Linked DNA regions of Cricetulus griseus. The protein of the gene in region 4 purifies or fractionates together with the protein of the main gene of each other region. This does not show direct contact. Links are inferred from orthologs where the notes say so. Each region holds a gene or a part of one and is shown on either strand. Other genes may lie near its edges. The genes, in order: Ctdp1, Med9, Rpap2, Polr2c, Med26 and Rprd1b.

Region 1 (5,549 bases), on a different chromosome or scaffold from region 4:
CATGTGATTTTGTAGTCAAACTCAGTGGTGCACATCTGTAATCCCAGAACTAAGAACAAAGGGGGGCAGTATTGCTGGAAGACCAGAACTTGAGACCATGAACAAACTTCCAGTACTGCTCTGATAAATTGTTTATAAAGTACTTGTGTGATTCTGATATGTGCTCAGAGAGAAGTAAGCATCTAGGCCTATAAGGCATGGCGACTTCTTCCTGATATCCTCTCTTCCTGGGTCCCCACGTTGGGTGAAGCCACTGTTGTGATGGAACTGCTACTGGATGAGGCTGCAGCCAGAGACAGAAATCCTTCTAAAAACAGACGACTTTGGCTCAGGGTACCTGGTGTGAGCCAAGCAGCTCTTTGCTGACTAAGGCCTAACAATCATGGCAAGTATCACTCAATACCAGGATCAAATGGTATCTACTACTCACAGTCTTCTCAAACAGGGAAATGCACACATCCTTTAGAAAGACTTCCTAATATGCAAGTCCCTCATTCAAAAATGCTAGAGACCAGAAGTGCTGCAGTTGTGGGGGGCCATTTGGAGTTTGGTATGTTTATATAGGCCTCACATGTTGAACGTTGGAAAACTCAAAAGCAAGCATGCCGTAGCTTTGGATACTGAAATATTTTAGACTTTGGATTTTAGAATTAAGGATACCCAACCTGTACAACTAAATTGTGGAGCCAAGACCCACTTAGCTGAAATCTGTGTGCTACAAAAGCCTGTACAGACTGTAAATGAAGAGCTCTGTTGACTGCTACTGGTAGCATCCTCTGTACAGATTCTCAGTGGATGCTGTATGAAGACAATTCTCTACTAAGTGGTGTGACTTAACTCAGTGATTTTTTTTTTTAAACTCTGTTCTACAAAAGTATGACATTTTGGGGAGGCCTAAGTGGTGTTCCCAAGAGCCAGTAGTTCCAAAAACTTACTGCTTGTCAGTAAGTTAATGGCGCAAACACCCATGAATTCAACTGGGAAAGGCAACCCACAGCCATGAAATTTATTCCAAAGAAACTATTAGGATCAATACAGGGCATGAAACAGAGCTTTAAACTAAGGCTTTGTTAACTGCTCCTTCCTGGATCTTTCACACTGGTCACCGTGTACATGCAGGCACACAGGAGAACTATGGGAAATATGCATGCCACCTCACCGCAATAGTCCCCAGAATGCTAGCAAAACACTGTCCATAAATGCACACAATAGGAAATGGGAAGGAAACATTTTAAAAATTATCAAAGTAATGTTGCTAATGGTTTTCCCAAAAGTAGGAATTCAACTGACATCACTGAACTGGTGGTACATGTACCGTGAGTGGTCCAGGATTCCAATAATCATTCCAGGGACACCTAAATGCTCCATCTGAGAAGGGACACTACTTTCACAGTCAAGAGGCTACCAGTTGGTAGCCACTCTGCTGACTCCTTGGGTAATGAACCAGGTAGGTTTGATTTATAAGAGTGGTGGGACAATGGTAGAACCTGTTTGGGCCTTAGTGTTGCTGCCACGGGGACCAGTATGAAATGAGACATTCATTGTGGGCATTTTCTACTCAAAAGCAGGGTACCACTGCTGCTAGTGAGGGCCCAGGTGAAGCTGAGATAGGAGCTTCTCTGATGTAGGAACAGTGCCTACCAAGCCCACAGCCTTGTCCTCCCAGAAGAAGCCAAGCAGGCAGCTCTCTCAAGGGGGGTCAGCCCCAAATAAGTCTTTCTGGTAGCTGTGCAACACCACCCTCCAGCATAGTGGGCAGGAGTAAGGGGCAAGGTCCACAGGCCAAGAAGCCAGACAGCATCTACAAAGATGCACCAGGAGGAGTGACCAGGAAGACAGCTAGGCAGGGATCTCAGTCTGTGAGAAGACCAGTGGAAAATGGAAATTTTCCTTATGGAGAATGATGGGCAGCAAATACTCAAAAGCAGGATAGGTACCAAAGAAGCATAGGATACCAGAAGAGGAACAGAAAGAATGTTTTCAGAGGGAAGTTCCCAGCCCAACACACTGTAGGCAGGAGGGCTCACCTCCCCCAGTAGTTTCTGCTAGTTACAACCAAAACAATCACAGCCATGGGACACACATGCCCACGTGTTAACTCAGGTTTAACACACAACACTGGCAAAATCAAGCATAAAGCCAGACTAGTGGCAGATCAAACCAATTCAAGATCCCGTAGAGCTAGAACAACAAAGAGAGTCCTCCAATTTCTTGAGAACCAAGTACCCATCACCCGAGATGCTGCCTGGGTCCTTCTCTTTCCGTGGCTATGATGCAGAATCATCACCGGGGTTTTACAACCGCGTTTCCCAAAGTTTTATAAGCGTTTAAAGACACACACGCCCCACAGCTTCTATTTCAGTAACGAGCCTGGAACTTGCCTGAGTAGTCCTGTGGGCACAGCCACCCAAGTTGCCTTCACTTACCAAGGTGGAGTCCACCAATTACAGAAGAGGGACGAATGCAAAACATTTCCCAAAAGGGTAACCTTGGGTCACCGAGAACTTTTCAAACTCAAAGTACGTCGGGTCTGAGAAGATCTTACTATACACAGTGTCACACCGCAGCACCCTCGGGGCCCCGCACGGCCAGCCACAGCAGCAGCCAGAGACCCCAGAGACCCGGGTCCCCGCACACTCACCCGGGGGCCACCACCTGGCCTGGCTGCGCACACAGTTCACGGACCACGCCGGCGCGCTCCGACCTGAGCCTGCGCTCGGTGCGCGCGGCGCGCACACAGCTCCCAGAGGCGGTGCGAGCCGGGGCCGGGGCGGCGGGCTCCGCGGAGGCAGCGGCCTCGTACACGGCCAGCACCGAGCCAATGCGCACCGCCGCGCCCGCCGCCACCTTCCACTCGAGCAGGCGCAGCGGCGTGGGGCCCGGGCAGCGCACCTCTGCCCCGGCCGCCGCCGGCGCCCTCGGCGGAACGCCGGCCGCGGCAGCGCTTCCATCGCGACCCAGCGAGCGGCGAGGGCGGTCGGAACAACGGAGGTAAGGAAGGAAGCACAGGCGCTCAGGGCGCGGCGCCCACCGCGGGGGGCGGCGACACTGCGGTTCCCGCTCCGACACCGGCTTCACCCGCCGCTCGCTGCGCACTCACTTCCGGGAGGCGTGCTACGTCACGGGGCGGGGCCGGCGGCGTGCGGACGCGTGACTGCGTGCTCTCCCGCCGCGGGTAAACAGTCGGCCCACGCGAAGCCGGGAGGCGCTGGTCTACACCCGCCGGGCGCCGGTCCGCGGTGTTGAGACTACAGACGTGCCACGCGGGTCGCTGTCACAAGACTTGGGTCACACGCTGCAAATCCTGACGCATCGAGACTACCGGTTCCGGCATGCAGCGCGAGTCTTGCGCCCACTTCCGTCGTACACTGCGAGTTCCGACCACCGGAGACTTCGCCTGCTAAAAGCGTTCAGCGCTGTAGTCCTGACGTGGAGAGGAACTACCACTCCCAGCATGCAACGCGAACCCCGGTCCCACCACTCCCGTGGTGCACTGCGAATCCTGGAGCAGCGAGACTGAGTGTCTGCTGGTCGCAATCGGCTCTGCCCTAGTCCGGTGCTCGGCGGAGCTGGCGCTGTTTTCAGAGTAGAGTTCTAGTGTGGGGCTACGGTTGGTTTAGGGTGTCCACCTCGCCCGCCCGCCCCTCCCGGACTGTGGTATGCTGATACCTATCGGGTCCTGTTTGGAGCGTTCACCAAGCCTACAAGTGGAAGCCAGGAGTATCTCTGGCTGGAGATTGCGCAGTTTCCGAATCCTATCAAATAGCACTCTCATAAAGCTTGAGTGGTGTCCCAGGCTGCGCCAGCACGCTTGTCCCAAAGATGCCTACACTTGTTCCCGCATCCTCTGCAAAGCCATCGGGTCTTTGTTCCTATTGGCTGTGCTCCAACGAATTGCCTAAAGTGCAGCGAATAGTGTGCGGGGAGTTTGTTTTTCTGGCTTACAAACCAAGTGAAGCCGCACGCCTTTAATCCCAGCACTCGGGAGGCAGAGGCAGGCGGATCTCTGTGAGTTCGAGGCCAGCCTGGTCTCCAGAGCGAGTGCCAGGATGGGCTCCAAAGCTACACAGAGAAACCCTGTCTCGAAAAAAACAAAACATACAAACAAACCCAAGTGAATACATACTCTTGCTTAAAACTGCTATAGGTTTCCAAGGGATGCCACAGTTCATTGATAGGTCCTCTACGTTATACATTGCAGGTATAAATTAGAGTTATTTGGGAAGAGGGGTTCTTCGATTGAGAAAATGGCCTCTATAACATTTGCTTATAGGCAAGTCTGTGCTGCATTTCCCTAATTAATGATTGATGTGGAAGGACCCAGCCTATTGTGGGTAGTGTCATACCTGGACTGGTGGTCCTGGAATGTCTAAGAAAACTTGCCGAGCAAGCCATAGGGAGCAAGTCAGTAAGCAGCACCCCTCCATGGCCTCTGCTTCAGTTTCTGCCCTGATTGAGTTCCTACAGACAGTGTACTGGCTAGTTTTATGTCAGCTTGACACTAGAGTCATCAGAGAAGGGACCCTCAATTGAGAAAATGACTCCATAAGATTGGGGAGTAGGCAAGTCTGTAGGGCATTTTCTTAATTAGTGACTAATATGGGTGAGCTCAGTCCATATGGTCCTGGGTTCTATAAGAAAACAGGGCGAAAGAGCAAACCAGTGAGCAGCATCCCTCCATGCCCTCTGCATCAGTTCCTGTCTCCAAGTTCCTGCCCTGTTTGAGTTCCTGCCTCACTCCCTTGAATGATGAACTATGAAATGTAAATACAAGCCAAATAAACCTGTTTCCTCCCCATCTTGCTTTTGGTCATGCTGTTTCATCATAGCAACAGCAAGCCTAACTAAGACAGACAGTGATGTGGAAGTGTCAGTGGAAATAGACCCTTTCCCTCCCAAGTTGCTTTTGGGCACAATGTTTCCTCATACTGGTAGCTTCCCTGAGACACCAAGTAAGGATTACTGTGTTCGGAAATGAACGTTTCTTATTACTAGTCCACCAGTAAATAAGAAAATAAATTGTAATAGTGTAACCAGATTATGAGACTGGGGTGGGAGTGTGACCTCTGACCTACAGCCCAAATTCACCAGGGAGTTATTTTGTTTGTACAAGCTGAGACAAACGTGAGTATCAGACAGATTGTGAGAATTATTAATCACTAGAAAGAATGGTAACTAGTTTGCAGAAGGTGAGGCCATAGCCAGGAAAGTTTATCATAAGCTACAACCCTCTATCATAAAATCTTAGGAATGGATGGGTTTCTGAGTCCATAATTTTTCAGATTTTAAGAAATTGATATGTGAATTTATCATCTGCAAGTAGAAACAGCATCTTCATGAAACATTACAGAAAAAAATGTATGAAACTATTCTATGTCAATTCATGTCAGATTCTGCCATCAAATAAGTTCCTCTAAAGTTACTGTGTTTTAAACTATGGATTTTTGGAACTATCAAGAAAGATATGAGTACTATGAGTGAAAAAAAGAATTAAAAGGACAGGACTGCTCCTGAGTATGGTGGAGGAGGTTTATTGCAGATATGAGGGA
Region 2 (3,875 bases), on a different chromosome or scaffold from region 4:
GTATTGTGTGAGGTCTTTATTATTTTTTTATTTAAAATAAAATAATTAAAAAATGAAAACAAGGTTTTCTTTGCTCTTGCTTTTAGGGAGTTGGGTTCCTGCCTTAGTGGCAGTAGCCAAGCAGAACTGGGGGGGTGGGGGGGACCTTGCCTTCTGAAAACAGCCTCCCAGCTTCCAAGTGGGACATGCTCTAGACCTTTCTGGCTTTTTCTGTCCATCCTTTACCTATCCTCCTGGCCTGTCACAGAGGGCCTCATTTCTAAAGATATAGTGTCCTTCCCCACTGCCCCATCTGTTACTCAATTGTGGCAGGCTATAGAAAGCAGTCAGTCTTGAAACTCTTACCTTGATTACCACAAATAAGGAGCCTGAGAGTTGTATCTGGGAAGATGCCAGTACTAGATGTTTATCCCCTGCCCCAGGATCCAGCAAAGTGCTGATAGCTTCCCGTATAGCCCCCAGAAGCACTCACCAGGTGAGGCCCATCTCCTCTGCACTTTGCTGTCTCCCTCTGTGGCCAAGGGATCATGGCTTGTGGCCCAGATCTCACCATTCCTGTCAACTTGGGGCAGGCCTCACCTTCCAAGCCTCTAATCTCTAATTCTTCAGCTGAGAAACAGAGGCACTCTGTGTGTGTGTGGGGGGGGGGAGGGGTGTTCATGATAGTATCTCAGGATCAGCACAACTGCTGTACCCATGAACCAAGTATCTGGTGGTTTTCAAGAGGGTCTTGAGCTTCAAGGGATGTTCAAGATTGTCCTGGGGGTAGGACTTCAATCCTGCTTTAGGAAGGGCCACTTCCAAGGAACTGTGCCTCTCAAATCACAGAAAGGCATTCACTTCTCAACAATGGATGGCTGGGTTGCCCAGGGTCCCCTGCAGGAGACATGCAGGCTTTTATGCAGTTTAATGGGTACACATGCTGGGTGGGGGAAGGAGCACAGAGAACATTTTGCCTCTACACTGCCTAACCAACACTCCCTTCTAATTTTTTATTATAAAACCTGCACTCCCAGGGTTTGACTCCTAGCACTGTTGAAAAAAAAAAGACAGTAGGCAAACCCTGTATCCTGAGAGTAGAGCACACTTTTAATTCCGTATCTGCAAATGTGACAGGTCAGCACACTGGAGCAAAGAAGATTCCATCCCCTTTGGCCCTCTAAGGAGCCTTCTGTCTCTGCCTAGCAGGAGGATCTGAAGCTCCTGCATCTCAAACTCAGAGCCCACTTTTCTGTCCAAACCACTGGAACTCAACACCCTCTTTCACACATCCCAGGCCCAACTGTGAGGCATCTTGGATAGACAATGCCACCAGAACCCCTGCTAAAAACGTTCCCAGCCAGTACTCCTGCCAACAAGGCCAGCTGGCAGGCACCTGCTAAGTCTTACACTGGTCAGCCCAGACCGTGCCCATTTCAAGATCTAAACAATACTGGGTACTTCCCACCTTACTCCTGAGAGGACGAAGGGCCACCCTGCCCTCAGTGTGACAGTCCCACGTGGGACTAGCAGAGCACACTCTACAACTAGCACACAGCTATAGAACCTCCAGGCTTAGCTACCCCTGCCCTACAGACCTGACTCTCACGACACACACACCTGGCTGAGGAACCACCCTGATTACCCCTTCCAGCCACTCTGCTCTAAACCAGAAGTGTGCAGGGACCATGTGCAGGGTAGCAAATATGGCTGACTCCCTGGTTAGAGAGGAGATGACGAGGTAAGCCAGGGCCTATGAATCAGGGCAGAGCTGCTTGCTCAACAGCCTTTTTGAGCCAGCGTGGGAAGGACAAAAGGCCCCAGGCAAGCAGTGCTTTGGCTATTCTGAGCACTGCCTGGAGTGATGGAGATAAAGGGAGCAAGAGCCTATAAGGCTAGTGTGCAGGAGGCTGGAAACTGGAGTTGGTGGCTGGCTGGCAGGGCTCTGGGATGACGCCCCCGAGATACAGTTTCATTCAGTAGCTCAAACAAAAAAGGAAGTGAACAGTTTTGGGGGAGAAGCCACCCACCCTCTGGCCTTTCAAAACAATGTTCACACTCTCCCAGCCTTCTTTAAAAATTATATTAAATCCATGCCATCTGAGTGCAGGTCTAATTTATCCCATGAATTCTATGCAAATGCTTCATGAAACTGCTGTTAACAGGAACAGTATGTACCAGATATGCACTGATGATATGGGGAGTGGGAGGAGCCAAAGGAAAGAAGGGAACAGCCACCTCCTCTCCTTCTGTGCCCTCCAGATCTGTTGATGGGACCAGAGCGTAGCTAATCAAGGCTGAGTACAGCCACTGAGGCCCCACAACAGCCATATGTGGCCTCCCAGTTTAGAGCTGGGCTCCCAAGGAGATGGACAGCACAGGTGTGAAGTTCTCAGTTCTTTGGCAGCTGTCCTGGGAGTTGGTCCTACTCCTTGGGGATCTCAAACATGCAGAGGCTCTTGTACTTCTGCAGAAGCTCATTCTTGGTCCTGACTTGCTCCCGGAGGCTGTGAAGCTGCTGCTGTTGCTGCTCAGGACTCATGTGGATGCCAGGCATGGTGCCTATGAGCTTCCGCATCTCCTGGAACTTTGTTTTGAGAGCATTCAGGTCCTGGTGGAGATCTGGGCTGTCCTTGTCCATGCTATGGGCAGCAAGGGGTGGGGGGTAGAAGGCAGTCAGTTAGCAGGTGCAGCTCATCTCTACAATGGCTTCCTTTGATACTCTCTGATACCTTTCAGAATGTTGTTTGACATGTCTGTCCCCTGACTAGGTTGCCTATCCCAAAAGACAGGGTTTGGTCTTTTTGTTTATTTTGGTTTTTTTCCTTAGCTTTAAGTTAGACCATAAAAACATTCCCTTGACTAGCACACTTGACAAATCAGATACTTATACTCTTGCTCCCCTGAGGGCAAGGACTGAGCTTGCTTCATCACAGGTGTCTCGCTGGTCTGGCCCTATACATAGAACACTATGCTCAAGAACTAATTGTGGATAAGAACGCTTGTACAAGTATGACAACTTGAGTTTGGAGCCTTACCGCCCATGTAAAAGCAGGGGCACAAGTGTCTATAAGCCCAGCTCAGGTAGGGGTGGGGTGCATAAAGAGGCAGATCCCAGAAGCCAATGAGCCAAAATAGCAAGCCTCAGTTCTATGCAAGGGAATACAGTGAAGAGTGATACAGCAAGGCACCCCAAGTACCCTCTTGTAGCCTCCCTACCACACACATGCACATACAATATACAAATTAAGTTTTCAAAACACCACCTGTCAAAAGAGTGAATGCCTGGAAAGCATGGCCACAGCCATGCTAAATGAATACACCATTACCAATCACCAGCAGATCACTACCCAAAACAAAAAACAAACTTGATGGCATACTCCACTCCACCTGATCTAAGCCATTTCTAGGCCAACCAGGAGACTCTGAGCTAGCAGGACCTTCATTTCACTGAGGTATGGTACTGGGTTAGACTTTAGTTAACATAAAAATGAATTCCCATAGAGCTAGTCATGAATTTAACTCAGCTACAAGTCACTGAAATTCTTCAACAGACATATGCTCTCTTCTACCATGATTCTGCAAATGCCTTCTTCTGGGTCAAGTCCATTTTGAAGGCAGATCATTCATGTCCTTTCACAGCTGTGATCCACTGCAAAAATCCCCACTCCTGACAACAAACCAAAAGCAAAAGAATAAAGATCCTAAGATCAGCTGGGCGGTGGTGGCGCATACCCTTGGTCCCAGCATTTGGGAGACAGAGGCAGATGGATCTCTGTGAGTTCAAGGACAGCTTGGTCTACAAAGCAAGTCTCAATACAGCCAGAGTCGTTACACAGAGAAGCCAAGTCTTGAAAAAGTAACTCCTCCCAAAAGAAAACCCTGAGAAAAAAAGG
Region 3 (4,873 bases), on a different chromosome or scaffold from region 4:
AAAGATGCCTCAGCAGTTTAAGAGCACTGACTGTTCTTCCAGAGGTCCTGAGTTCAATTCCCAGCAACCACATGGTGGCTCACAACCACCCTGAATGAGATCTGGTGCCTTCTGCTGGCATGCAGGCAGAAGACTGAATACATAATAAATAAATAAATAAATAGAAATCTTTAAAAAAAAAATGGCTGTAACAATACTCACTCCCACCAGCTCCTTTGTGAGTTGTACAACCAGCTCACTGTGTTTAGACTAGTCTTTTCTCCAACTACTAAAGAAAATGAGCATGTTTTCATGTGTTCACTAACCATTTACTCCTGTGTATAAATGTTTGCGTTAGCTTGCCTTCCCTTTTTCTCAACGTGTTCTGGTCATGGATTTGTAGGAAATCTAACTTCACACGTTTCACTTGTTCGTTCTCTCCTCCCCCCTCATTTTTTTCAAGACAGAGTTTCTTTGTGGAGCCCTGCCTGTTCTGGATCTCACTCTGTAGACCAAGCTGGCTTGAACTCAGAGATATGCCCCAGCCTCTGCCTCCCGAGTGCTGGGATTAATTAATATTGCTTTTATGTTTTGTTTTTTGGGACAGGGTTTCTCTGTGGCTTTGGAGGCTGTCCTGGAACCAGCTCTTGTAGACCAGGCTGATCTCAAACTCACAGAGATCCGCCTGCCTCTGCCTCCTGAGTGCTGGGACTAAAGGCATGCGTCACCACCGCCCGGCTGTTTTCTCATTTGTTTTAATGAACAAAAATTTTAAAATTTAAAAAGGAAAGTATGTCAGCTTTTCACACTTTTCTAATTTTCTGTACAAGTTCAAATTCTGACAGCCTTGAGAGGTGTGTTTTCTGTACACAGTTCTCTCCACCCACTTTGTATATAGACGTATACTTTGTATATAGTCAGTTCTCACGTTTCCCATCTGGACAACTGACTATGGCACTGAAAAACCAGTAGTTTTCCAGCTATTGAAAAACCCATCCTTTCTCCACTCACCCCCATACTCCTGTGGCCATCTATCAAGGGGTCATGTATGTGACGAATCATCCAGGTTCATCCTTCATTTCCCGATATACTACTTGCCTGTACTTACAGCAACATGCACTTTATGTTTTTAAATGTTCAAATCTTTTTTGGAGGGAGGTAGCCCAGAGAAGCCCCAAACTTTCTGATAGCTGAGAAAACTATGGACTCCAGACTCTTCCCACCTCCATCATACCCAGCTTTAAGTCTTAGTTAAAGTTCAAGCAAGAATTTTTCTTAGTACCTTAGTTTTAAATAGTTTAAATCTGTTCATGTAGTTATTTTCTAACAGGAAAATTTTAAAGTAAAATTAAAGTTCTATTTAGCATCATTTAAAAAAATTAACTGCCACATCAAAACAGCTTTTGAACTTACCTTTCTTTCAGTAATATCATAGACTTTATTGGTTTTAGTAGAAATTCTATACTTCTGTTTAGGGATCTAAAGAAAAATAAAGCATCATTTACTAGAGAATTTAAGTAAGGAACACAAGCTTTACGTCATATACAATTAAGTCATATATATATATATAGTTAATACTTTTGGCCAACCCAAGTTATTAGTTCATGATCTTGGGCTTTACTTCCTGTTCTTTCTACAACACTAATAAACTAGTAAACACACTTAGAAGAAGAGTACTTACGACTCCGAGCTTCTTCTGACATAAAGGATAGCCACAGAGTTTGATGATGGACCGCTCGTCCACGACATCGCTGTAGTGAGCCGGAGTGATGAACATCCCCTGCAGTGGAATGTTTGCGACAGGTTAGTGGGACCCACTTCACAGCTGTGAAGGCAGAATTAGAGGGGCATGAGAAGGAAAAGTACTTCAGTAAGTTTGATGTACAGTAACACTTAGAGCAATGGTATTTTAAATTCTTCTGGGCAGACGAGATGGCTCCGAGGGCAAAGGTTTCTGCTGCCAAACATGACAACCTGAGTTTCACCTCTGGGACGAACCCACAATGGCAGAACAGAATTGAATCCACATGCACATTGTGGCACATGTGGGTCATGGTATGTATGCCCACCCCATGAGAAAATAAAAATAAATTTAACAACACATTACATGTAACTACAGCTATCTTACTATAATATATATACTATATACTATATATATACTATAATAAGTAAGTATACTTACTTACTTATTAGCTCATTTTAAAGTCATCATAAAGCAAGAAACACTACAACAGTTGATAATTTTAAAAGACAAATTATACATCATGTATCTAAGGACTAAAATAAAATTTAAAGATTCCAATAGTGGGAAGAAATTTCACTTTGCATAGACTGAAGCGTGCTAGACTTGGGGACTGGAGGGATGGCTCAGTAGTTTGGAACGCTTGCTGCTCTGCCAGGTTGGTAACCTGAGTTTGGTTACCAACCATGCAGTTCCAGAGGAACTGGTGCCCTCTTTTGGACTCTACAGGTAACTGAACATACGTGGCATGCATTCACACATACCTATGCATATATTTAAAGAAAAAATGATGGTGCTGGAGAGACAGCTTAGTGGTTTAGAGTATTCGCTGCCCTTGCCAAGGTCCTGAGTTCAGCTCCTGCCACCAATGTTGGGCAGATCACAACCATCTATAACTCCAGTTCCAAGGGATCTGACGACCACTTCCGGACTGTGGGCACTCACAGTGCAGGTACATACATGAATATATGTACAAAGACACTCATACACATAAATAAGTCTTTAATAGATTATTTTAAATCTGGTAATCTGTCAATGTAATACATACACACTCCTTTAGGAATTCCTCTGTGATGTTCTCTTCCAAAAGCTGCTCAACAATGTGCATGGCTTTCCTCTCAAACTCCACCTTCCTTTGCACCGCAGTTTCTAGTTCTGCCCGTCTGAAATTTTAACAAGAAACTTAGTCCACTTAAAACACTTCTCTTGCCAGGCATTGGTGGCGCATGCCTTTAATCCCAGCACTCGGGAGGCAGAGGCAGCGGATCGCTGTGAGTTCGAGGCCAGCCTGGTCTCCAGAGTAAGTGCCAGGATAGGCTCCAAAGCTACACAGAGAAACCCTGTCTCAAAAAAAAACCAAAACAAAACAAAAAAGACTTCTCTTACAGCCAACACTCCATGCTTTAAAAGCCACCACTAACCTTAGTTACTATTTTGCTGAAAAAAAATTATAGTTTTTAATTCTGCCATTTCTCGCCCAATACCTTCCAAATAGCAAGCAACAATTCATTACATTACAGTGTATATACGGAAGCCGATCACAAGGATTACTTCCAGGCTCAGAGCACAAGGAAGCACTTCCAGACACCTATAAAAAAAGGGGGGGCTGGCATGGTAGTCCATGTCCATAATCACGGCACTTGGAAGGCAGAGGTGCAAAGAATGAGAGTCCAAGGCTAGTGTGGACTACACAGGAAGAACCTATATTTTAAAAGAGCATGGATTTTTTTTGCTTTCAGTTTATATTTTTGCCATACATACTTGGCTCACCCCACCTTTCTGAAGAAAGAAAGACTGAAGAAACAAAGAAAAGGTGACTTGACTTCTGTTTTCCTCACACACAGAAACTTCTGTCAAGAGCTGAGGTTGTGACATCTCAGTTCAACAGAGCAGTTAGGTCTGGGGGGAAAGGCACTCACTTTATGAGTCTTGCTAGGTAACTGTATGATATGTAGTTGAGGGAATGGGATCCTGTCAGTCCCTGTGGGCCCTCACACATGGGATGTAAAGCCAGGCTATCTCCTTAGGCAACCCCACCCATAAGCAGAGCTTCTCAAGCTCTGCTGCAAGACTGTGTGAGATGTTTTTACACACCGTGCCCAGAATGGAGAATCACCGCTGTCATGAGTGTCCTAGTAATGCCACCTTGGCTGTCACCAGTGCTTACCCCTCCCTCTGACATCTGGACCAGTTGGCAATCCCAAGTGTTCTCCCTGCTTTCATTAACTTCTGAGACTTTAAACACTTTGCCTAGAGCAGCATGCCCCTCCCCCCAACTTGGCTGTCAGGTAGTTTTGCCAACAATTCGTATTTATAATACATATATTAAAATGGGAATTCTGAAACTAAACACCTATTTTTTTCCCTACCATTTCATCAAGATCATTTTACCATTATTTTGAGATAATGGGGATGGAATTCAGGACCTTGCACATGCTAAGGAAGCACTCTACCACCGAGCTGCAATCACTAACTCCATAAAGACCACTTTTGCATCAAAGAAATACAAAAGATATAAACACAGATTACAGTTCTTCATATTTAACATGAAAAGCTTCATGAAAAATTATGTTTCTCAGTTTTGCACCCATCAATAAAAGTCATTATCAACTTGCTGGCTCAAATTATCAACCACACTGTCTGGAGCCATTGTCTTCCTGACTGACAGATACCTACAGCTGCTTCCAATGGGTATTGTCTCAGTGTTATTCCTTCTGTCACAAATGATGAAAACTAATATGGCTGTGCTGGAAGTTTTATGTCAATTTGATACAAGCTACAGTCACCTGAGAGGAGGGAACCTCAATTAAGAAAATGCCTCTATAGTCTACGGCCATACCACTCTGAACATGCCCGATCTCATCTGATCTCAGACGCTAAGCAGAGTTGGGCCTGGTTAGTACTTTGATGGGAGAAAATGCCTCTATAACGTTTTGGGCTGTAGGCAAACCTGTAGGGCATCTTCTTAATTAGTGATTGATGGGGGAATAGTTTAGCTCATTGCCTGTAATGTTACCCCTGGGTTTATGGTCCTGGGTTCTATAAGAAAGCAGGTTAAGCAAGCCTTTCGGACAAGCCAGTAAGCAGCACCTCCCCATGGCCTCTGCACCAGCTTCTGCCTCAGGGTTCCTGCCCTGTTGGAGTTTCTGTCCT
Region 4 (3,897 bases):
GGGGTGATCTGGTTATTTCATAAAATGAGATGTGGATCACAGCAGTGTTGCTTCTATGATGTTTTCCCTAACTTTAAATTTTTAAATTATTTTTAATTATGTCTCTGTGTGTGGGTCTGTGCAGGTGGAGGCAGGTGCTAGAGGAGACTAGGGGGTCTCAGATTCCCCTGGAGCTGGAGTTCCAAGCAGTTGTGAGCCACCTGCCATGGGTGCTGGGAACCTCTTAACCACTGAGCCATCCCTCCAACCCATGTTTCCCCCAACTTCTAAGTGCCCAAATAGCTTTTGTTCTTGGATATGATAGTAACAGAATATAGCAGATTTAAAGTGCTCTTTGGGGAAATATTCAATTCCCTAATTATTACACTCCTAAAATACTCTCTAAGTGAATGTTTATTTTTATGGTACCAGTAAGCCCTATACCCAATTCACTGGAGGCAGCACGGTGTTAGGTATGGTGTGTATGTGTGTGTGGTTTGTTTAAATTGGCTGCCTGAACCTCGAGCTAGCCCTGTGGAGGCAGTCTGTGGCAGCCTGGCCTGGATACCATCAACCCTAAAAACAGTGATTCTTTTCTTTCTTTTATAAATTTGGTTGGTTGGTTGGGTTGGTTTTTTTTGGGGGGGTGGGGTGGGGTGTTTGGTTGGTTGGCTGGTTGGTTGGTTGGTTAGTTGGTTTTTTTTTTTTCAGGACAAGGTTTCTCTTGTAGCCCTGGTTGTCCTAGAATTCACAGAGTTCTGCCTGACTCTGCCTTCCAAGTGCTGATCACTAAGTAATACTTAAGTCTTGAGAACAGGGCTGTATGTCTGGAGATGCTGGAGGATGTCAGATTCTCAGATGGTGGTTGGTCTCACTTGTGCTGTTTGATTGCCTTTTCCAGCCATTGACTGGGTTCAGATTGATGCCAATTCCTCAGTCCTTCATGATGAATTCATTGCTCACAGGCTTGGTAAGTTTGGGCAGGGCATTGAGAAGTGGAAGGGATTAAAGGGGGGGTACCTCCTTTCCCAGCCTGAGGGACTTACTTGTAGGTTCTTGTGATGGCTTAGCTGTACTACAAAACAACTTTTCTGTGTCTTGCAGGATTGATCCCCCTCACTAGTGATGACATTGTGGACAAGCTGCAGTACTCCCGGGTATGTGTGTTGATGGGTAGATTGGAGGCACAGGAAGGGGGGTTCAGGAGGGACTGACTAGTTCTCCCAGAAATCTTTCTTCCTACGTTCTGACTATAGCATAGTTTAGAAAGCCATTGTGGAAGTGATATCTTAATACTGTGATCTTTGGTTCTGATGTGTTTTCAGCACATCCAGGCATCTTATCAGTGTGCCTCACAGAAGGGGACACACCCTGGAATGCCAATAATTCTCGTTTTAAAGATAGCTTTTTCACTTTTATGTGTGTATATGTCTGCTTCTGTATTGTGTGTGCAGATGGGTTAGGGTACTGGAAAAGGTCAAAAGAGGCCAGCAGAGCCCCTGGAGGAGCCCCTGGAGCTAGAGTTACAGGCAATTGTGAGTTGCTAGATGTAGATTCAGGGAACTGAGCTCAGGTCCTCTGCAAGAGCAGCAAGTGCTCCAGACCTGCCTCCCCAAACACATTTGTTTTTGGAGGGTGGGTTTTTGTTGTTGTTATTTTGTTTTGTTTTTCTATATCTTTTTTAAAGATTTATTTATTACAGTGTTCCACCTGCATGTATCCCTGCAGGCCAGAAGAGGGCACCAGATCTCATTGCAGATGGTTGTGAGTCACCATGTGGTTGCTGGGAATTGAACTCAGGACCTCTGGAAAAGCAGTCAGTGCTCTTTAACCTCTGAGCCATCTCTCCAACCCTGTTTATTTATTTATTATTTTTTTTAAGACAGGGTCTCACTATGTAGCCCTGGCTGGCCTTGAACTCCCAGAGATCTGCCTGCTTTGCCTCCTGAGTGCTGGGATTAAAGACATGTACTACCATGTCTGGCTGAGAAACGTTAATAAAATGCCCCCTTTTTTCCCCTCTGTAGTTACCAAATGCTAATGTTTTATTACATTTGCCTCATTTCTTATATAGTGTTATCTTCCCCTAACCTTTTAGAAAATAAGTTAGAAGCATCCTGAGCTTTCTCCTGTAAATACTTGAGCACATGTCAATGTGCTGTAATCCTATATGCCTGTATCCCACTATTTAGGAGACTACCTAGTGAGATATACCCTGTCTAGGAATGTACAAAACACCCCAAAGAATGGCAGATGTTGATAATTAAGAGGCTGGAAGGTGGGTATGTGATAAGTGGCAATCAGTCCTCTATGTTTTTGTATATGGGTGAAATTTTCTGTAAGAGGTTTTGAAGTAAAGATTAGCTGAATGCCTGTATAACCCTAGCACTTGGGAAGTAGTAATGGGGGGATCTGTAGTTTAAGGTTCATCTTCAGCTATGTAGTGTATTCCAGGCCAGCCTGGGCCACATGAGGACTCCCCACTCCGGGTAATCTAGAATTTGAAAGGTTCTTGCTCGTTGTAATTCCCAAGTTGGTCTGAGTATCACTGCAGGTAGAAACTATAGTCCCATAACCACCTTGGTCATCTGTGGCAGTGTGCCCCCTAGTGGTAGCCTATAGCCATGGCCATGGCAAGGAAGTGTAGTTGTCAGTGAGTAGATGGCATGTCCATAAGCTTGAGCAACCATGAGGATGGTGTACCAGATGTCACAGCCCAGAAGAGGCCTGAGACTGTGGTCGGCCCCTTATTGCCAAGAAGAAACTGAAAGGAGCTGGTCAGTAGAAGCAGGGAGTCTGGTCTGTTTATTCCTACTGCCCATCCTTCAGGACTGCACGTGCGAAGAGTTCTGCCCTGAATGTTCTGTGGAATTCACCCTTGACGTGAGGTGCAATGAAGATCAGACTCGTCATGTTACCTCTCGAGATCTCATCTCCAACAGCCCCCGGGTTATTCCGGTAAGTGCCTTTGCTTCTCCCTTTCTGGCTTCAAGTGGGACAGATTGGAGTGGATCTTTATGAGATGTCATAAAGTCACCTGTCCAGTGACCATCTACTTTAACTGCCACCTGGAAATGCTGGTTCCTGAGTGCTTGAACAGAGCCATATTGGTGCTAGGTGCCCTATGTTGTTCTAGACCCTCTTAAAGGCCATCAGGCTGTTTGGACAACTCTGCCACCTCCGTCTCAGGCTTCCTTTCCCTGGCTTGACAGACTACAGCCAGAATTTACTGGGAGACAGTTGCCAGAGGGGACTGAGAGGTTTGTTTGGACTTCCTACAGGTGACATCCCGGAACCGGGATAATGACCCCAATGACTACGTGGAGCAGGATGGTAAGAGGATGGGGCAGGGTAGTAAGGAGGTTGGGTGAACATGCTTGTGGCCAGAGAGTGCAGAGGCCAGATGCACCCTCTTGAGCTGCCTGGTCTCTGTCGCTCATCTTTAGACTGTTTACCCAGATGTGGGCTATCTTCATCTAGGACTGCAGGTCAGAAGTTGGAGGACTGGCTGCTTTTTGTTTCCTGGCTCATTCTCACCTTTCCCTGCAGACATCCTTATTGTCAAGCTGAGGAAGGGCCAGGAGCTGAGACTTCGAGCCTATGCCAAGAAGGGCTTTGGCAAGGAGCATGCCAAGTGGAACCCCACTGCAGGGGTAGCTTTTGAATATGATCCAGACAACGCACTTAGGCACACGGTGTATCCCAAGCCTGAGGAATGGTATGCTCTGTGGGGGAAGGGGCACTAGCACTGGCTGTAATGAGGGGTAGGGAGGTGCTCCGAGGGCCTTGCTAAAAGCAGAAGTCACCACTTGTGCTTCACCCATGCTTACCCTCAGGCCAAAGAGTGAGTACTCCGAACTGGATGAGGACGAGTCACAGGCTCCCTATGACCCCAACGGCAAGCCAGAGAGGTAAGAA
Region 5 (5,631 bases), on a different chromosome or scaffold from region 4:
AGAACTGCATAGTGAAACTCTTTGTAAGGGGGAGAAAAAAAACCAAAATCAACTATTAGTAATCAAAAACAGCAGGCTGGCAGGTCTGTAATCCTACAACTAGAGAGGCACTGGCAGGAGAATATTTGAGGCCAGCTCAGGCTGTTCAAAAGCCCTGTCTCAAAACACTGGTGAGATAAAATGTATCTTCAAACCGGGCGTTGGTGATGCTTACATTTAATCCCAACACTCAGGAGGCAGAAGCAGGCGGATCTCTGAGTTCAAGGCCAGCCTGGTCTCCAGAGAGAGTGCCAGGATAGGCTCCAAAGCCACAGAGAAACCCTGTCTCGAACCCCCCCCCCCCAAAAAAAAAGCGTCTTCAAAATGGGCTGCTTGGACCATGAGCTCCATCTAAACACGTGCTAGGGAGTGTATGTAAGAAGTACGTTTTCGTTCTACTAGTGTAACGCAGGCTTCTGCCAGGTGCAGAATTAAACAAGCCATGATAAAGCTTTTGTTTGTGGAGGGGAGAGGGAAGGACAGGTTCTGACTTTCCGTCCTGGCTGGTCTGGGGCTCACTGTGTAGACCAGGCTGGGCACGAACTCCAGAGATCCTCGGGCCAACCGAGCACTGGCATTAAATGCCAGGCTCTCCCTCCCCCTCTCCCCCATCCCCCGATCCCGGCTAACCCTCAGAAGTATAACAAATTCAAAATTAACAGGGGTCGCCCAGCTCTCAGGAGCACATGTGGTTCCCATTACCTGTTTCCCTTCCGTTTCCAGTCTGGATCTTTAAGGTAACCTCGGAGCCCGCCGCCCGCCCGCCCGCCCTCCTCCCGTCATCTGCAGCGGAGCTCCGGGTCACCCAAAGACGGGGGGTCGGGAGCCCGACACTTAACATCTCGCTTCTCTTGGTGTGGCCTAAAACTCCAGGTGGTTCTGACGCTTGCTTTCCTGCTCGGTGGGGCGTTCCTGTTTTCCAGCACCTGAGATGCAAAGCCAACAGGAAGGGGCGGATGCCGGGCTGCAGCCCCGCCACCTCGGGCACGGCGGTCCCTCCGGCCGGCGACGCGAGCGGCGCTTCCTCCTGAGCGGGTCGCGCAGGCCCTGTCGGAGGCGGCGGTGCCCTTAGGTCCCCTCTGCGCGGGTCATACGGGGACACGCACTGCCCCGCAGACCCGCGCCTCCGGTTTCCACCGCGGCGGCGGCTGCGCAGAACTCTCCCGAGGTCCTCGCGGCGCGGGTCTCCTTGGCGTCGCTCCTGAGCCGGGTCCCAGCCCCCGGCTGCGGCCCTTCATCCGAGGGGAGGGTCCTCCTTCTCCGCACCCCCGAGGCAGCCCGGAGGAAGAGTCCAAGCTCCAAGACCCAGCGGGTGCGCTTCCGTTAGGAAGCTCCGCCCACCGGTTTTTCGGAGTGGGCGTGGCCTTTAGACAGCGTCCGTTGCCCCGCCCAACTGCCTCCCAACGGCTCTCTGGAACGGGCCATGGGGCGTGGCGACGCGACCTGATAAACGCGCGTGCGCGCGCATGCGCAGAGGCAACAGAAGCGGCTCACGAGCCGGCCCCTCCCAGAGCCAGAGTCTCCGCCCGCCCCCATCTCCCAACCTCCTCAGCGTGGCGCCGACGCTGCGTGCGGCGCGGGTTACCCAGAGTGCTCAGCGCGGGGGCAGCTCACTGGAGTTTGGTTCTCGAGGCGGCGGCGGCGACGGCGGCGGCGGCGGCTTCTCCGTCGGCTCCTCCTCCCCCCCTGCTCGCAGCAGCGGCGGCGGCCCGGGGCCCGAGCTCCGGTCCCCTCCGCTTCCCTCCGTCTTCCGCCATCTCCCCGAGCGCCCCGACCTCCTCCGGCGCCGCGGGGAACATGCGGCTCCGTTCCCGGAGGCTGGCGAGCGACTGACCCGCGTCCCCCCGCCCCAGCCCGCCCGCCCGCCGGCCCGGCCGCTCCCCCCCGCTTCGCCCAGGCAATGACAGCGGCTCCGGCGTCTCCGCAGCAGATGAGGGACCGGCTGCTGCAGGCCATCGACTCCCAGAGTAACGTAAGTGACTGCTTGGAGAACGGGGACCGAGGCCGCATGTGCCGGGACCCTCCCCCTCCGACGCGCCCCCGGCCTGGGGGCCTCTCCCGGCGGCGCCCTGCCCGCCACAGCCGTTGCCATCTCGGCCTCTCGTTCTCCCGGGTCCAGGGGCCGCGGGCAAGGCGGGCAGCCCGGCGACTCAGGGTACCTGAGGCCGAGGCTTCACGCGGCCTGGACTGAGGGATCGCTCGGAGCCGAAATCAGACCTGGTTCTCCTCGGTTGCCTCGGCCAGATTGTCCTTGGTGCTTTCCACCTTGCCTCCCTGTCTCTCTTCGACCCCGGGACTTGAGACCCCCCGGAAGGGTCTCCCTACGGGGGTCAAGGTGGGAAGCAACTAGTGTCCCCCGATGACTCTGGTAGCCCGCGTCTCCCTTCGGTCTTCTGGCTGAAATCGTCTTCTTGGGCTCGGAGAGAACCCTAGGCCCTCCTTGTCCCTAGTCTTGCTGCTTGGGATCCCTGGAGAGTTTCCCTTCTTTTCTGATACTGGACAGACCCCAGTTTAATCCCTCCAAGGGTCGCTACCTAGGAAAGACGACCCTGCAGAAGGTGGGATCCTTCCTGTCACCTTTCTTGGCCTAAATGTCCCATTGTGTGTCTGACAAGCCTGGGGTTTTGGTACTGAATTCCTGCTCATCACAGTCGATTGTTCTCTCGCCCCTATTCTGGTCTTCTTTCCATCTCTCTTGCCCCACCTGAGGGACTCGGCCTGGTGTTTGGTCTCTAGGCTGTCAAGAGTTAACTGTATGGGGTCACTTTATGTCACATTTCCCTCTGCTAAGCGTCCTATGAGCAGAGGGACACCCTTTCTTCCTGTGTGAGCATAGGCTAATCTCACCTGTTGTGTTTTTTCCAAAGGTTTGTTGGCAGTGTAGGGAGGGGGTGAGGGTCTTTGTTCCTGGAAGCAGCAGGGCCATGAGAAGATGCACAAGCATCCAGGTATGAAGTGTTTGCTGGGAGACCAGGAAGTGGCCTTTGAGATCACTTTTTAATATGCTCAGGATGGAAAGAAAAATCATCTTGGGCTTGGCCAGGTAACTGAGGTTTGAGCAGGGAGCTCTTTTGGTTCCCTTACTTGTGCTTGGCTTGTTACTCTTAGTAATGTGCCATATTCTGGTGTGTTCCAAGAAATTCACATTAGTTGTGCAGTCTTGGTAGAAATGGAGGTTTCCTGATCTCTGGAAGAATCTGCTTGCCAGATTCAAAGTAAATCTCTTCTTCCTGATCTTGAGGCCCTATTAAGATCACCTTGATACTGATTTAGCCAATATTTTAGACATTTTTGGTGGGTGGAGTAAGGACAGGCTAGATAAAATCTTCTAAAAAGTCTTTTTTTTTTAAATGTTTTTTAAAACAGTGACTGATATTACTGCAATTACATGATTGAGATATTAAAAGATACAAACAAGTGATGTGAAAAATGTAACCTCAGTGGCTTTTGCATGTTTTCTGAAGCTACAATGTACACAGTGGATTTTTTTTTTTTTTTTTTTTTTTTTTTTTTTTTTTGAGACACGGTTTCTCTACCTGTAGACCAGGCTGGCCTCAAACTCACAGAGATCCACCTGCCTCTGCCTCCCAAGTGCTGGGATTAAAGTTGTGCGACACCACTGCCAGCATCCACAGTGTAATTCTTAAGTCCTGTATGTTGACTCGTGAGAAATCACCAGGGATCCTGACTGCTGCCTGTGAGAGTGCTGGGATCAGCTAGTGCTTTGATAGGCAGTAATGATGCTTCGCTTCAGGTGGGGCAGCCTTGCGGGTAAGGCTCTGACTAAAGGATTCTTTTGGGGGTAAAAGAAGGAAGATAGAGGACTCAAATTTTAGTGTGTGAGTGTGTGTGTGTGTGTGTGTGTGTGTGTGTGTGTGTGTGTGTGTGTATTAAGACAGAGCCTCTGGAACATACTATGTCCTTTGCCTTCCGAGTATTGGGATTAAAGGCGTGGGCCACAGTGCCTGGTCCCCAAACCTTTGCTTTTTGAATCTTACCTTGGGCCTAAGTGTTAATATACTCCTTCACCTGTGGGTAAGTTACTTGGAGTGGAGTGTGTATCTCAAAGGGCTATAGGGATAAGTGACCTCATTGTGATGGCTAGAGTTGAGAACTTGTCTCTTAATGAGGAGGGAAGTTTTTCTCTAAATGCAGTGTATCAGTAACTATTCATGAACACTGTCATGTGCTGGCTTTGCAGGACCTCTTTGTAGAACTCAGCCTGGAGGACTGTCCTTGATTTCTTCCAGAGGCATTGAAGGGTACTTTTTCTGGATTGTTCAGGGCCCAAGTAAGAGCTGTGTGCTGGCACAGGGCTCTGCTCTGCCCAGTTATGAGCTCTACCACTTGGTAATTGACACATATTTAAGATGTTCATGGAAAAAAATACAAAATGGGGACACAGTTGAAGAGCTTACACTAAAATTAACCCTCTTGAGAGAAAGTGACAGAGATTGGTGTCATGTAATGCTTACCTTTATGAGTGCAATCATAGCTAACAAATTTAGCTGTTGCTTGGAAAGTCAGTGCCAGGCAGCTGACCTACTGTCCACAGTCTCTGAAATTGGGAGCAGCTCCTTGACCAAGGAGGTCTCTAGAGGAAGGCCAGCTCTGCTGTGTGTTCTAGCTTCTGAGCAGCAAGCACTGTCCTTTCTGCCAGGCCTGTACTTCAGGAAGTCCCCCCTCCCTTCCAAAAGGCCGCTAATGGACTTCCAGAATTGTGGAAGTTTCAGTCACCTCTGTGTGTGTTAGTTCAGGGAGTCAACAGTCTCTAATGTATACTGCACATCTGCTTGTAGTCTTGTGTTATGAATAAAGGTGAGGGGTATGATTTATTCTTTCAAAGACATCATAGTGAGTCCCTCTTTGGCCAGTGACAGGGTTCTTAGTCCCTTGGTGCCCTCCGTGTTTGAGGAGAGCCTGGGCTGTGTCTACTTGAGACAATGGCTCCTTGTGGATGTCCGTGTCTCTCCTCCTCTCCTGTAGAAGAGTCTTGCTCCCTTCCTCCATGCTGGATCAGTTTTTGAACCTGTGACTGAGAATTAGCCTTCAAGCCCCCATTTTCTGAAGAATCGCTGGGACTGTTCCATGTCTGTGGAATGGCCTAACTGGAGCCTTGGTGACTGAGAAAATCACCCGTGGCTTTAGATATGTCTGTGGGGAATGTAGGTGTGATCTTGAGGCTAACAGAGTTCACTTTTCAGGACAGTGGAAGGACGGTAGAGCCTCATGGAAAGAAAGCTAAGTGGTCCAGGATGGGGCTTTCCAAAGCAGGTCTGTGGCCCTGGGTGCAGAGCAGTAGGAGGCCTGAGAAGGCTTATGAAGGAGGACTTGATCCAACCACTGCCAGGCTCTGGAGAAAGAGATCCCAGGAGTCACTGCCTTCCTCTCATTCCTGAAGAAGCAAGCACCATGACTGTCATTTGGAGTCACTTGCGTCTGCCAGCCTGCAAATTACTTGCAGCAAGATGGGCAGTCCTGGAAGAGCTCCTTCCACATCTAGGTTCAGATCTGGAAGGGTTGCAGTGGCCTACATGAGTTGTTCTGCAAGGCCTTCTTCTGTGTTCTTACTTCAGGAATTCATGCAAGGTG
Region 6 (4,873 bases), on a different chromosome or scaffold from region 4:
ATTGCCATTTCCTTTTCAAAAAGGCTTTATTTCCCATCAGGGGTTAGCTTAACCCACAACCAGAATTGTCACCTGTCTTAACTTGTTTGGTTTTACATTCACCTTTGCTGTTGACACCAGCATTCTTGAAATGCAATAAGAATGGGTCTTCCTCCCCTCTGAACTCTGACCCAGTACCTCTGCCACTTTAAGGTTCAGAAGCCACTAGAAACCAACATAAAGTCCTTAATGGAAGAGGAGATGCTTGCTATTTAAAGGAAAATACAAAGCTAACAAATAAAATGTAGAAAAACTTAAGTGTTGACAAATTTGAGCTGTGGGGAAAGACTCCCAAGAAAGCACCTGTACATGCAGGAGCCCATAAACTGTGGCATTTACACACTGAAGGCAATGAAAGGTTCCAAACAAGATTTAACTAGTCTTCTGATTTGGCAGTGTTCAGGACCAACCATTACGAAAGGGAGGCGGAGGGATTGAGGCATTGAGGCTTCTCTCAAGTTGCACACGGGGTATTATTACCACCACCGTCAGGACAGAATGAAGATCTGTCTATTATAAGGTGTGAGAGGAAATGGCAGATTCAGAAGACCAGACTGTTCATGTATTTAGTAAGCACAGATAAAGATCTAATGCCACCAGTCAGCTTCTTACATTTTTATCTAGTCATTTGCTTTTTCAAATGCAGCAAACTTCTTTTTATTTTCATAATGAATGGCCCTGCCCAGTTGGCTGGTTGAGTTCTGGCTGCCTTGCAGTACCAGGGTCCTCCTAATCCATCCTCAACTGCTGAGTTCCAATGCCATGCCATTCTGTGAAATAGCAACAACGAGACTGCAAAGCTACAGAATGGACTGAATTCTGACCTCTATGCCGCATAACCTCTTGGGGCATCCACTACCTGTTGTGCCTATGAACCAGACAGCTAACTGCAGCTGGGGAAGAGACAGAACAAAGAGTTAACAGGCTCTACCAACTGTCTCCTTCTCAAAGACTGTCCTCTATGGTGCTTGTCACGTTCCACCCAACAACAGCTGCTCATGATAATCAATGTCTGACAGATCAGAGAAAGCCCTTAATGTGTCGCCAAGGGGCAGTTCAACAGATGGCACAATGACTTACAACCAGAATCATTAATTACAATCTCTTATTAGTCCCAAGGTACTATGCTGAAATGCTTCCTCAGTGAAAGATGAGCCCGTCAGACAAATGGCCGTCTGCTCCTGCTGATGACGTTCCCTTTAGGGTTCTGGTCAGTGCTGAATCTACAGGAAAGCCATACTACTGTCAGCTGTCTCCTATCTTCCACACTCAGGCTGGCTAGACCTCTGAAGCTCCTAGCACCTGTACCTATCACAGCACAGCTTCTATAATCACTGCAGGGAAGGACATGGCATTCCCTCTCTAGTCAGCTGACCACAGAATGACCAATGCAACAATCACCAGAGCTGGCTCAGTGTTCCCTCCCTCTGTGTCAGAGAATTTTCCCTGGTGGGAGAAGGGTGGCCTTCCACTCCCTTATCTACTAAGGGGGCTTCATGAGGTGTTTCTTGTGATCATTATGAGTTATTCTCTAACTCAGACCCCTCTGTCCTTCCCAAGAAACACAGAGGAGAAACTGCTAAGAAACTGCTAAGTCCAACAATGTGGGGCAGATGGAACCCCAACAGCCACACTGATGGCTCTGCTCCCAAGGACAAGGAGCTAAGCTGAGTTAAGAAGCAGATGGTGAGGGGATTCTAAACCCTTTCTTGCTGGACACACCGAGACACATGCTCTCAACACAGGAAAAATGGGTTCCTGCCCAGTTTGAATCAGGCTACACAAACACAACTGAACTTGTAGAATATGTACAGGAAGAGCTTGTAGGCAGGAGGCTTACTGGCAAGCATGTGTATATGTCAGAAATAAACCTCAAAACAATTCAGATTCCCAAATATAACCTTTTGCTGACCCTTCTGTATCTCAATTTATAATTTTTCAACTCTAAACTGTGAAGCAACTTTAAGATCCTAAATGCTGTGACTAAGAGGCCACTGTTTTCACAATGTGAGTTTTTCTTTCCTGGACATGTTAAAAACATGACTTCAACTCTTAACTAGGCTACAGTAATCACAGTTATCTGATGGATACTACTATCTCATTCATTTTCAGAAGATAAAAATAAAGGTTAATCCAGGAATAAAATGGGCTATAGGAAGGGCAATTCAGGCAATTTGGGTCTGTTTTGCAATGTACTCACTTCTAGCTTTTTCTCTTTTTCTGACAAAACCTCTTTCTGGTTTTGGGTATACTCCACCAGCATCCGAGCCAGCTGGCGCCGGTCTTCCAGTTCCGCTGCCAGGCGCCCGTTATATTCCGCTAGTAAGAGACATGCTTCATCTACCGTTTTTGAAAGACGTTCAGCTGCCTCTTTGTCTGAGTACAAATAAGAGCAGAAAACAGACAACATACAAATCACATAGGTATGATTGCAAACATTCCTGAAAGAAGGTTCACAGAATCCAAGAATAAACCAGAACCTGTGAACCAACAATGCTGGCCAGCCAAGAATCCAAAGGTGCCAACTCTGTCAACAAGACATATTTCTGAATTGCCTGAAGTAAGACAACTGGATGGGGCAGGAAAGCTGGCACGCTGAAAAGAGCTTCCAGCAAAAGCTCTCCAAACAACCAGCATACAGATATTTAGGGTCATCTGTGAAATGATTTCCCTTGCCTCTGAGAAGATGAAGTGTTTTTGCTTCTATTACTGCACTAAGAATACTTTTTCCACTGTTCTAAAGTAACAGAGCAAGCACTCACTCTTGGGCGTGGAGAGACTGAGAGAAAACAGGAGTTGTATGAGAGGCTCAAATATGGTCTCAGAAGGTGATCTGCAGAACTCTGTTCACCAGAGAAAAAGGCTGGCTCCTGGGAATGAGCTTGCCTCCCACACTTACAAAATATAGGGTCTGAAAAGGAGGAAGGGTCTTTCAAATGTATGTGAACATGACCCTCAGTGGAAATAGTTTATAAAAACACAAAAAAAGAAGCAGTACCACATGTGGTGGCTCATACTTGTAGGAGAACTGCCACAAATTCCAGTCATCCTGTTTATACAGCAAGATCCTAAAAACAACAACAACAAAACAAAACAGAAAAAAGAAGGGGGAAATATCTTTTTCTTATATGTGCAAAATATTCAGTGTTGCATTTTTAAAGTGCTGATCATTATTGAGAAGACTGAATTCATGTCCAAATAATGTGTCTTGTCACCCATGCTTTGGGGAGAGAAGAGCAAGCACTGAAGTGTAAGAATATAAAGAAGTGCTAAACAAAGGCTGGCCTAGCAAATGAGCAGAGACAAAAGGATGATTTAGATCCATAAGGAACTGCTGCAATTGTGTGGTGATGGTGTAAATGTAAACATGTGCATGTTGCTTTAAAAGGTCTTTTGGGGGCCGGAGAGGTGGCTCAGTGGTTAAGAGCACTTATTGCTGCTGTAGAGAACTTGGATTTGGTCCCCAGCACCCACATTAGGTAGCTCACAATCACCTGTAACTCCAGTTCTGGAGGATCCAATGAAATTTCGGCACCTGCAGACATGTGGTGCATGTAAATTCATGTAGGCACACATATACACATAAATAAAAAACTATTAAAAATAAATAAAAGCAAAAAGGTCTTTTGGGTGGAAATAGTAGCTTGATGCTTCGAAGCAGAGGGCACCAGAGCTGCCAGCAGTTCCACACACAGTTCCTCCAGGCAATGGAATTTAGGAAGTTCCAGCATAGAGCAGCTACCTGGTCCTTACTTGCCTCTGTGAATACCGGGAAATGAACTGCTGAGGGCTCTCTGATGCCCCCCCCACCTTGGGTTAGAGAACACACACCAGGGAAGGAGTGAGCAAAGCAAGGTGGGAAGAGGGCCTGGGACATAGGGCAGGGGACCAACTCGGCACAGACTGGCAACTCGGCCAGCGAGCAAGCTTGAGTGGCTACTTTCAGCTTTGCCAGCCCTAGACTACTGATCTCTTTATAAGAGTAATTGCTAGAGTACCTGTGGCAAAATGGCAAGGAAATACTATTTTTTAAGATTTAAGATAAAAAAATAAATTCTCACCCTGGAGAACTTGCATAAAGAAACTAGATCATTTATATAAGTAACTGGAACTCAGAAACTGCTTTTTATCACTCAAGGGTTACACAAAACCACAGGCTGGGAATCAGATTAGTGTCTTGCTCAACCACCATCAGTGAAGCGTCCTCCTACAGAACTAGTAGAGACACAACTGGACAGTGTACTGAGAGAAAGAGACTTTGGAACAACCAGGTCTAAATGAGATGTCTTCATCAAACCTGTCCCCTTAGGGCTCAGGGAACCCTGATGTTGTAAGAGCCAGTGGGGATGGAGGACACCAAGGAAACAGTGTCTTCCAAACACAACAGGACTGATGCACATGTGAGCTCACAGAGACTGTGTCAGCATGCATGGGAGCTATACAGGTCTGAGTCAGACAGGGCCCCAGTGCTGAGAGTGGAAGTGGACAAGAGCCCCCAACCCTAACTGTCTCCAAGCCTCAAATGTTCACAAAGGAAAGATTAGTTTTTTCCCAGTGGAGTCTCTCTGGACATACAAACCACATTTAAAGGCAGGCCCCATGCCCAGCAGTAGATGGTCAACACAAAACAAACTCAATGGTACTTTAGATGTTTTGTCCTGTGATGCCTTGTTTAGCTAAAATTCACCTTACTGATCTTTTGCTTATATATATATATGGGTTTCTGATTTTCTGTTTTTATATGTTTTGTTAATGTGTGCCTTTGTGTGTATTGTTTCTTATGTGTGTGTGTTTTTTTAATTATGGTTTATTTGTTCTTTTATTTGCCTGTTTG

Evidence for each region.
Region 1: the proteins of Polr2c (region 4) and Ctdp1 purify together in Homo sapiens (affinity purification with mass spectrometry; 3 studies listed by BioGRID and IntAct, with this or other methods). This does not show direct contact. The link is inferred for Cricetulus griseus from reciprocal best matches to the Homo sapiens genes POLR2C and CTDP1.
Region 2: the proteins of Polr2c (region 4) and Med9 purify together in Homo sapiens (affinity purification with mass spectrometry; 3 studies listed by BioGRID and IntAct, with this or other methods). This does not show direct contact. The link is inferred for Cricetulus griseus from reciprocal best matches to the Homo sapiens genes POLR2C and MED9.
Region 3: the proteins of Polr2c (region 4) and Rpap2 purify together in Homo sapiens (affinity purification with mass spectrometry; 3 studies listed by BioGRID and IntAct, with this or other methods). This does not show direct contact. The link is inferred for Cricetulus griseus from reciprocal best matches to the Homo sapiens genes POLR2C and RPAP2.
Region 5: the proteins of Polr2c (region 4) and Med26 purify together in Homo sapiens (affinity purification with mass spectrometry; 3 studies listed by BioGRID and IntAct, with this or other methods). This does not show direct contact. The link is inferred for Cricetulus griseus from reciprocal best matches to the Homo sapiens genes POLR2C and MED26.
Region 6: the proteins of Polr2c (region 4) and Rprd1b purify together in Homo sapiens (affinity purification with mass spectrometry; 3 studies listed by BioGRID and IntAct, counting the BioPlex papers as one, with this or other methods). This does not show direct contact. The link is inferred for Cricetulus griseus from reciprocal best matches to the Homo sapiens genes POLR2C and RPRD1B.

The regions. Positions count from the first base shown.
Region 1 is NC_048595.1:234,863,799-234,869,347, reverse strand, and holds the start of Ctdp1 (RNA polymerase II subunit A C-terminal domain phosphatase), read right to left. Parts: upstream 3,333-5,549; 5' UTR 3,101-3,332; intron 3,095-3,100; exon of another isoform or gene 2,642-3,094; intron 1-2,641. UniProt on the Homo sapiens protein: Processively dephosphorylates 'Ser-2' and 'Ser-5' of the heptad repeats YSPTSPS in the C-terminal domain of the largest RNA polymerase II subunit. This promotes the activity of RNA polymerase II.
Region 2 is NC_048600.1:74,077,791-74,081,665, reverse strand, and holds the end of Med9 (mediator of RNA polymerase II transcription subunit 9), read right to left. Parts: intron 2,622-3,875; coding exon 2,405-2,621; 3' UTR 1,067-2,404; downstream 1-1,066.
Region 3 is NC_048600.1:2,362,539-2,367,411, reverse strand, and holds part of Rpap2 (putative RNA polymerase II subunit B1 CTD phosphatase RPAP2), read right to left. Parts: intron 2,884-4,873; coding exon 2,769-2,883; intron 1,760-2,768; coding exon 1,661-1,759; intron 1,459-1,660; coding exon 1,393-1,458; intron 1-1,392.
Region 4 is NC_048596.1:171,082,768-171,086,664, forward strand, and holds part of Polr2c (DNA-directed RNA polymerase II subunit RPB3), read left to right. Parts: intron 1-880; coding exon 881-949; intron 950-1,083; coding exon 1,084-1,136; intron 1,137-2,808; coding exon 2,809-2,937; intron 2,938-3,260; coding exon 3,261-3,312; intron 3,313-3,528; coding exon 3,529-3,697; intron 3,698-3,815; coding exon 3,816-3,890; intron 3,891-3,897. UniProt on the Homo sapiens protein: Core component of RNA polymerase II (Pol II), a DNA-dependent RNA polymerase which synthesizes mRNA precursors and many functional non-coding RNAs using the four ribonucleoside triphosphates as substrates.
Region 5 is NW_023276806.1:247,287,676-247,293,306, reverse strand, and holds the start of Med26 (mediator of RNA polymerase II transcription subunit 26), read left to right. Parts: upstream 1-1,894; 5' UTR 1,895-1,939; coding exon 1,940-2,011; intron 2,012-5,631. UniProt on the Homo sapiens protein: Component of the Mediator complex, a coactivator involved in the regulated transcription of nearly all RNA polymerase II-dependent genes.
Region 6 is NC_048599.1:21,516,292-21,521,164, forward strand, and holds part of Rprd1b (regulation of nuclear pre-mRNA domain-containing protein 1B), read right to left. Parts: exon of another isoform or gene 2,416-4,873; coding exon 2,240-2,415; exon of another isoform or gene 1,152-2,239; intron 1-1,151. UniProt on the Homo sapiens protein: Interacts with phosphorylated C-terminal heptapeptide repeat domain (CTD) of the largest RNA polymerase II subunit POLR2A, and participates in dephosphorylation of the CTD by RPAP2. Transcriptional regulator which enhances expression of CCND1.